Linked DNA regions of Rhinolophus ferrumequinum. The protein of the gene in region 1 binds, or shares a complex with, the protein of each later gene. Links are inferred from orthologs where the notes say so. Each region holds a gene or a part of one and is shown in the gene's direction. Other genes may lie near its edges.

Region 1 (3,747 bases):
AAGAGGGCCCAAAAGAGTGAAGCCTTAACTTCTCTGAGCCTCAGTGTCTTCGTCTGTAAAATGGCAATAATAACCTTACCTCTGCCTACTTTACAGGTTAGCTCGAGTGCTTGACCAGTGGTCACTTAGAAAACTATTTGTTGAATGAATGAATGCATGGACCATGTGGGGCAGCAGTGGCAAGCTGCAGGGGTCTGCACCAAGCAATATAACTGTGAAGACTTGCTGCCCATGAGGCCTGCTGCAATGGAGTCCCACCTAAGGCAGTGGATGAGTGCTGAGCTGAGTAGATAGGCTGGGTGGCATGCTGGTCAGCACAGGTACTCTTATACCTGCTTGGTGAACGTGTACCTGTATTGATACAGCCTGTTTAGAAACTCACATAATGCTAGCAATAACAGTTTTAAATGAGCAAATCGACCTAGTAGTTCTATTTACAAGAAATCACCAGATATCCTGGCTCAAGTGTGCCAAGATTTATATAAATAGTATGTTTATTGCCGCTCTTTGCAAGAGTAAAAAATTGGAAACAACCTAAAGGTTTCCTTCATACGAGAGTAGATAAATAAATTGTGGTACCTTTACATTATGGGCTACATGGCTGTTAAAACGAATGAGGTAAAGCTATATGTAGTAACATGGAAAGGTCTCAAGATGTATGGTTAAGTAAAAAAAAAACAGAAAAATTCAAGTTGACAGAGCTATACATTGAATATAACACTTGCAGGGGAAAAAATCCATTTCTATGTATCTGCATAGAAAATATTTGGAAGGCTACACAAAGTTAAGGCAATAAAGAAAAGACTAACTTTATAATTTTAATTTGATAAATGAAAGCGCTCCCGTTTAAAAAGTCCAGAGGCTCTATAATCTGGTCAATGAACTGTGCGACTCAAGGAAACAACTCACTTTTTTGAGCCAAAGCTTCCTTTTGTGTAAACTGACAATGGTACTTCCTACCTCCCGGTACTGTGATGGGGTTAGATGAAATAATACTAGATACAAAAACCCTTTTCAAAGTCAGGGGTTCAGAGACAGATAATTACAGCAATCAGGGAGGGCAACACAAAGAAGGAGGCATTAGCCTAGACCTTGAAAGATCTGGCAAGATCTGGATTTGGTTTGTGTCCTGGCTGTCTTTCCCCAACATTCAACATCCATTTATTAGGGGTCTGGTACAAAACCTGATGTGGACTTTTTAACCATTTACTTCCTGCCGTGGAAGGCAAAGCAGAAGTCCGGCGCGTGCGCAGTACTAGAGCATCGTTGGCTGCGCTCCTCCCTCGTACTACAACTCCCGGCAGACTCCGCGCAGGTTTCGGGCGCGTCGCGGGCTGCTGTCGTAGCGTGGTAGCGCGGGGAATTTCGAGTGGGACTGGAGTGCGGGAGGCTAGTGGGTGGTGGACCCCCCATCCTCCTTAGGGGAGACCATGGACTCACTAGTCGAGCCTCGGTGGCCTCCAGGTCTGGCAGTCATGAAGGTGAGTGCTTCGGGGAGGTTGGGGGCGCCCGGGTGTCATCGGGAGGCCAGTCCCGCCTTGAGGATGAGAAAGGAAGAGGCGGGAGAGGCGAGCTGGGCCTGGGTAACCCGGTTCTGCTCTGCCACTTACCAGCCGCATGGCTCAGGGCCTTAGTTTCCTCCCCGAGAAGGGACGGGGACAGGCCTCGGTCCCTTAGGGTGAGCTGAAGTTGGCTGTCTTATGGAACCGGGTATCCTGCAGTTAAGTCACAACAACAATGACCTCGAGAAAAGCAGTTACTTTAAACAGTGAAAACGACAGTGACAGCCCTTTCTGAGGACTTACTACTACATGCCAAGCATTATGCCAACTCTTTCAGTACATTAGTTGAGAATTTCTGAAAGTGACCCCCGACCTGATTTTGGGTGAACCTTGCATCAAAAAACATTTATTTAATCACCTAGTGAAGCAGGTAATCTTCACATCCTATTGTTACCCTCTAATTACACCCTCTAATTACACCCTCTAATTACCCTCAAGAAGCCTAGTGCTGGTTTGCCCTAACTCCTTCCCAATGAGTCCTAACTCCTAACAGTTGTGCACGTCTCTCTTTTAAACAAAGGGACCAGGACTCAGGCGCAGCACCAGCCTTTCATTTCATTGAATTATTTCTCTTATATAACATTGATTTTTGTGGCTGCTTGGCATTTTGTGGCGGCAAGGCATTTTAGTTTCCATTTACAGTAGTGGTGAGCCCAGGATTCCTGCTGTATTTGGTCAAGAACAAATACACTTTGCTGTGCTAGTTAAGAGTCAATTGCTTGGTGTTTCTCCTTGCTCTGTGATCACTTTCATTTCAAGTTCTCATCCTGTTCTAAAGTTTCGTACACTTGGGGATTATGGCATGTGTCCCACTGATTTATAAGGCTGTCTCTGAGGATTAAGTGAAGAGACTTGGGGGAGGTTAACTAAGTTTGAGACTTTATTCTTCCGTCATCATCAGTGTTATCTACTGTTTTGGGGCCCTTGAGATACAGCCCCACGGTGAAAAGCTGACATTGGGAGGATCTAAGAAAGATGTGGTTTTGAGGTTGTGGTGGCCCTGGCACCGAGGTGAGCATAGATTTGAGTTCTGATGATCCTGGGTTAAATCTGGTCTCTGCCTCTTCCTTAGCTGTGATCTTGAGTCAGTTACTTAATCTCTGAGCATGAATTTCCTCAACTATAAACTGGAGACAAAAATAAACAGTTTATAGGGTTGGTTAAATGAATTGATGTGTGTGGCTAGGGATCCTGTCTGTCTTACTCACTGCGTAACACAGTGTGTGGCACATAGTGGGTGCTCAAAAATTATTTCCTAATTGATTAAAGGTATCTGGAAGGTAGTAAGCATTCAATTAACATATCTTATTAACACTTAGCGTGTGTTAACTGTTTAAACCCCCTTTTTATTTGTTGTGAGGATTGAATGGGATAAAGGAAGTGAGAGCTGTGTAACTTGTAAAGCTACCTGTCTGTAGACTTAAGCAGATTTTATATATTCCCACAACTTCCACTGCGTTCTCTGGAGGCAGGTTCCTTGTCTTTGGCTTTGATACCTCATCACAGCACCGAATTGAGGGTTCAGCACCAGAGAGTATTCAGTGATGGAGTTGATTGAGCCCGTATTAGAATCATGAAATACTAAGGTTGGGAAACCAGCCCCCCTCCAGTCTTTTAATCCCTTTTACATTGTATTTGCCAGTTTGTCATCTAGCTTTTGCTTGAAGTGTGCCAAGGACAAAGAATTAGCTGCTCCCAGAAGTAGCTCTGTTGGAAGTTCTTTCTTATATTGAATAGAAATCTGACTCCAAATCCATGGTTCCTAACAGGATCCATGAAAAGACTTTGGTATCTAGATTATTTATAAAATTTTTGTTTATATGTATGCTTTTCTAAGGAGAGAGTCCATAGTTTTCATCCATTTTTCAAAGGGATCTGTGACCCAAAAGCTTAAGAACCTTTGCTCTAATTATTGGCTTTTTACCCATTCCCTACTTCCCCGTTCCACTTTCTCTAAGTTAAAGAAATCTTGCGGCATCCACTTGACCACTCTCTATTTGGGGTTAGATGCATGTGACGTGTATGCTACTGTCTTGGAATGGCATGATGGGAAATTTGTGCGAGAGTGTTATAGCTCATCTGATGCGGTGACACCTTCCGCGCCACCTTTCGCGCGTCTTGCTCAGCAGATCTGTCAGAACCACTCCTCCCCCAGAAGAGGATGGTTATATAGAAGAAAGTACAA
Region 2 (3,747 bases), on another chromosome or scaffold:
TCTTTTGGATCAAAAATTAATATAAGACCGCGTCTTATTATATTAATTTTTCCTCCAAAAGACGCATTAGAGCTCACTGTCTGGCTAGGTCTTATTTTTGGGGAAACAGGGTATATTTACCCCCCCCCCCAAGATCTGAATCATAGTTTTAGGTTTCTTTAACAACCAACCTTCCATTGATATGCTCTCTGGAGACCTCATCCCCACATTTATTGACAAATACAATGGTACCCCATCCTAGCCAAATCCATGGACTTGGACACATCCTCATATGAGGGCAGACCTATAAAGGAAAAACAAGATTCTTAATTCCACAGGGAGTGTGAATAAACCTTGGACAATCTACACCGTTCTTTTATCTTTGCCCAGACTTTCCAACCCTGGAAACCCCACTGCAATGTACATACATACACGCTATTGCATGGCCCTAAGGAAGTATTTTAGGGGATTTTACTTCGTACGGGCCTCAGCATTTAATCCTGCATTTATTAGAAAAAATGAAAGCCCCCATCACTTTCTTCTTCATGTACCAGATTTGATAAGCCATTGAACCAGCCAGAGGGGATTTTAAATCCAAATTATTTTCGGCTCAGTTTTAAAGACTTAAGCAAAACAAGCTTTGCTTCCATCAGGACCTCTTCGATTGCCCTCCCTGTTCATAGGACGAAACAGATGGAAAACTAATAAAAGTATATGCCCGCCCTCAGCTCAGTCAATTTACCTGCTTCACTGACCTGGCTGAGACTCAGATCCAGGAGACACTCTCAAGGGATCCGTTCTAATCGCGTCACAGGGACACGTGGTTCTAGATACTTCGCCCCCTCCCCCTCAGGGGTGGATTGTTGACAACTCCGCCAGCAGTCACGTGGTTTTACGTCATCCCTCCTCCTTTCCTGAAATCTCCGACCTCGCTTGAGTCCCTCTCTCCCCACCCGGTCGGGCCTAAATTAGTGAAAGGGGGAGAGACAGGGTGGTGTTTCGGTTTCGGTGTCTCTTAATTCACAATTTCCAGCCTGAACACAGCGAAGACTAATTTTTCGATTAGGTCAGGCAGCCACAATGGATAGGGTCCTGCTGAAAGGCTACGTTCGAGCTCTCATACGGCCTATCTCCTTCTCCTCCACCCCTCATTCTGTGGTAGTGGCGGAGGGCGGAGGGATCTGGAGGTGGCGGAGGGAGACGTCATTGCAGGGTTGTTTGTGCAGCCTCGGCGGCGGCGGTGACCCGCAGTGATTCGGCCGCCGCGCCGGGGGGTGGGGGGGCTGCGCGGGACTCTTTTCTCTCAGACTGACCGCGGGGCAGCTGGGGAGCATGTCGACCCCGGCCCGGAGGAGGCTTATGCGGGATTTCAAGCGGTAAGGCCCTTCACGTTCGCCAGGATGATGGCTCCTCCCCAGACCTACGGGCCTGCAGGGTGGGGATCGGGATACCTTCCTCTCACGGTCCTAAGAGGGCCGACTGTGGGCCCCGCGGGACCGACGGAGGCCAGTTCTACTCCCCCCGTTCGCACTTCCACATCTTTGCTTGCTCACTCCTCTGACGTAAGACATTTCGATACCCCCTCCTCCCCAAAAGTAAAAAGATGGCTGTGGGCTGTCCTAGGATTCCCCGCTGCCTGCTCGGGCCAGCTGCCCGACGTCTCGCCCCAGCGTTCAAACCTCACCCCCCCACCCCCACCCCTGCACCCGGCGGCGCCCCCTCCTTGTCTCCCAAAAGCGAGCTCTTGGGGAAGCTTTTTTCCCTGCTTGCTGCACCAATCAGCTTTGTTCGATGGTCCTGCGGTCTCCTCGGAGGGACAGGGTTGGGGCGAAAAGCCCCCCCCCCCGTTCGTTCTGCAGTGAGGGTGGGGTCTGCAGCGCGAGATCCGGAGGTGGTTAACCCATCCTCCGAAACCCGACTCTCACCCGCCCGCCTGAAAGGACCTTGAGAACTGGCTTAGAAACCTGGGACTCGAGCTGGCAACACCGGCTGCCAGTGCCTTCTGGAACTCAGCTCCGTGGCCTGGTGTATAAAGCCCTATCTATAGCCTCCAAAGTCTGGAAAAATGCCTTCCCTTAACTGGCGTTAACCTGATACTCCCTGGGCCTCCTTTTGTAAAATAGGGTTTTGTTGAGAAGTGTGGGGGTTAGTGAGAAGGAAGTGATTTTTTTTTTCCAGTTTACGTTTGATTGAATACTTGGAGGTACGGGAAAAAAATGACTGAGAAAACTTAGCATTGCGATCCTCTGCACATTATAAGTGTTTTTCATGGGAGACCTGCCTTGATTGAGATAAAATATCTAGTGTAAAATTTTAGATTAGCTGCTCAGGAAGTAACCTCTCAACTTCACAATTACAACGTCGTAGGTGAGGCCTTTGGAACCTATTGTTTTGGGCTTCAGCCAATTTATCGTTGAATATATTCGTAACTTCTCTTAGCCTTTGGTGGGCATCAAGCAGCCTAATTCCTCTAAGGCTTCTTCATCGTGGCCTAATCTGAGGTTCACTAAAAATAACCATTTTTATGTAGACTAATTTCAAAGTATTATACTACATGACAATCACTGCATGTATAATATATATAATGTAGCATTCATTTTTTACTGAGATAACAGTCTTTAAAAGGAGATGCCCTATTTCATGCTTCTTCTGAAGCTTGAAATTGGTAGATTTCAGACTAACTCCCATGAACAAAATTCAAATAATAAAACTTTGTTTGTGTCCATTGTTACCCTGGTTTTCTTACTGTGAGTCTCTGCTTTATTCTGAGTTGAACACATGGCACTTTTGCTAGTTTTCCAAGGGTCTCCAGGTTATGAGAATTTGACTATGACAAATGTTGGATGGTAGTAGCTTTGTATTGACTCTCCTGATCTGAGAGGTAAATTTAATGTTAGTGCCGAACCTCTAAAATAGGGACTGATAGGAAAACCTAAATGAAACTTTGATTACTTTAAAAGCCATTGCCAATTGAAGCAAATTGTATAAAGTAACTTTCCTGCCTAAAATTAGTTTCCTAATTAAATTGGATATGTGTTTTTAATAGTTTTGTGTTTACACTAGGATTTCGCCCGTTCTCAGGAGTTTTTGTCGCTTTTCTTTCCCGAATCCCGAGATATAAACTGTTTTCTGTTCTCACGATGAACTGTTTCCACAAAGTGACGGCCGATACTACCAACCACCTGGGTTCAAGGAGCCGATTTTCCCGATTTCCTGACCAATTTTTCTTGGGATTGGAACAGAAAAGCAAAAAGAAAAAAAGTTCCCGAGAACAGGCGGGAATTCCCGCCCGGAAACCCTAGCGATAAATAGGAAAAATGTCTAAGATACATTGCGAGTAATACATTTATTTCCCATTGTGGGTATTACTGGGTTCAAGGAGCCCATCTCCCCGATTTCCCGACCAACTTTTCTCAGGATTCGGGAATGGGAAAGCGAAAAAAGATCACGAGAACGGGACGGGAATCCCTGCCCGGAAACCCTAGTTTACACTGAGGTTTTTTTGTTTTTTGGGGGGTGGGAGGAGGTTTGGTGGCCATGTTGCACAAATAGCTGTGGTTAGGACTCATACAGCAGCAAAATGGATGTTCTGTGAAAATCTTGCAGTTGAGGTTTTTAATTTTAATTTTTATTTTTTGAGGGAAGCCTGTATACATTAGTTCTTGAAGAGATATCTTAATCTTGATGGTATTTGAAGAGGGATACTCCCAAACTCTTTGGAATTTTAGATAATTTGTAGATAAGTGTATACCTGGTCGTTTTTTCTTT

The links. The genes of interacting proteins can lie anywhere in the genome.
Region 2: the proteins of RAD18 (region 1) and UBE2B are in contact, whole or in part, in a crystal structure (PDB 2YBF), measured with the Homo sapiens proteins. The link is inferred for Rhinolophus ferrumequinum from reciprocal best matches to the Homo sapiens genes RAD18 and UBE2B. Residues at the interface, in NP_064550.3 of Homo sapiens: Tyr342, Arg343, Lys344, Lys345, His346, Lys347, Glu349, Phe350, Leu353, Val354, Gln356, Ala357, Arg358, Lys359, Gly360, Tyr361; in NP_003328.1 of Homo sapiens: Pro20, Val22, Gly23, Val24, Ser25, Gly26, Ala27, Ser29, Glu30, Gln35, Asn37, Ala38, Val39, Phe41, Gly42, Pro43, Glu44, Glu49, Asp50, Lys54, Leu55, Val56, Leu73, Ser74, Asp151, Ser152.

What each region holds. Positions count from the first base shown.
Region 1 is NC_046300.1:44,748,464-44,752,210, forward strand, and holds the start of RAD18 (E3 ubiquitin-protein ligase RAD18), read left to right. Parts: upstream 1-1,348; 5' UTR 1,349-1,430; coding exon 1,431-1,481; intron 1,482-3,747. UniProt on the Homo sapiens protein: E3 ubiquitin-protein ligase involved in postreplication repair of UV-damaged DNA. Postreplication repair functions in gap-filling of a daughter strand on replication of damaged DNA.
Region 2 is NC_046307.1:10,302,033-10,305,779, forward strand, and holds the start of UBE2B (ubiquitin-conjugating enzyme E2 B), read left to right. Parts: upstream 1-1,185; 5' UTR 1,186-1,311; coding exon 1,312-1,355; intron 1,356-3,747. UniProt on the Homo sapiens protein: E2 ubiquitin-conjugating enzyme that accepts ubiquitin from the ubiquitin-activating enzyme E1 and transfers it to a E3 ubiquitin-protein ligase. In vitro catalyzes 'Lys-11'-, as well as 'Lys-48'- and 'Lys-63'-linked polyubiquitination.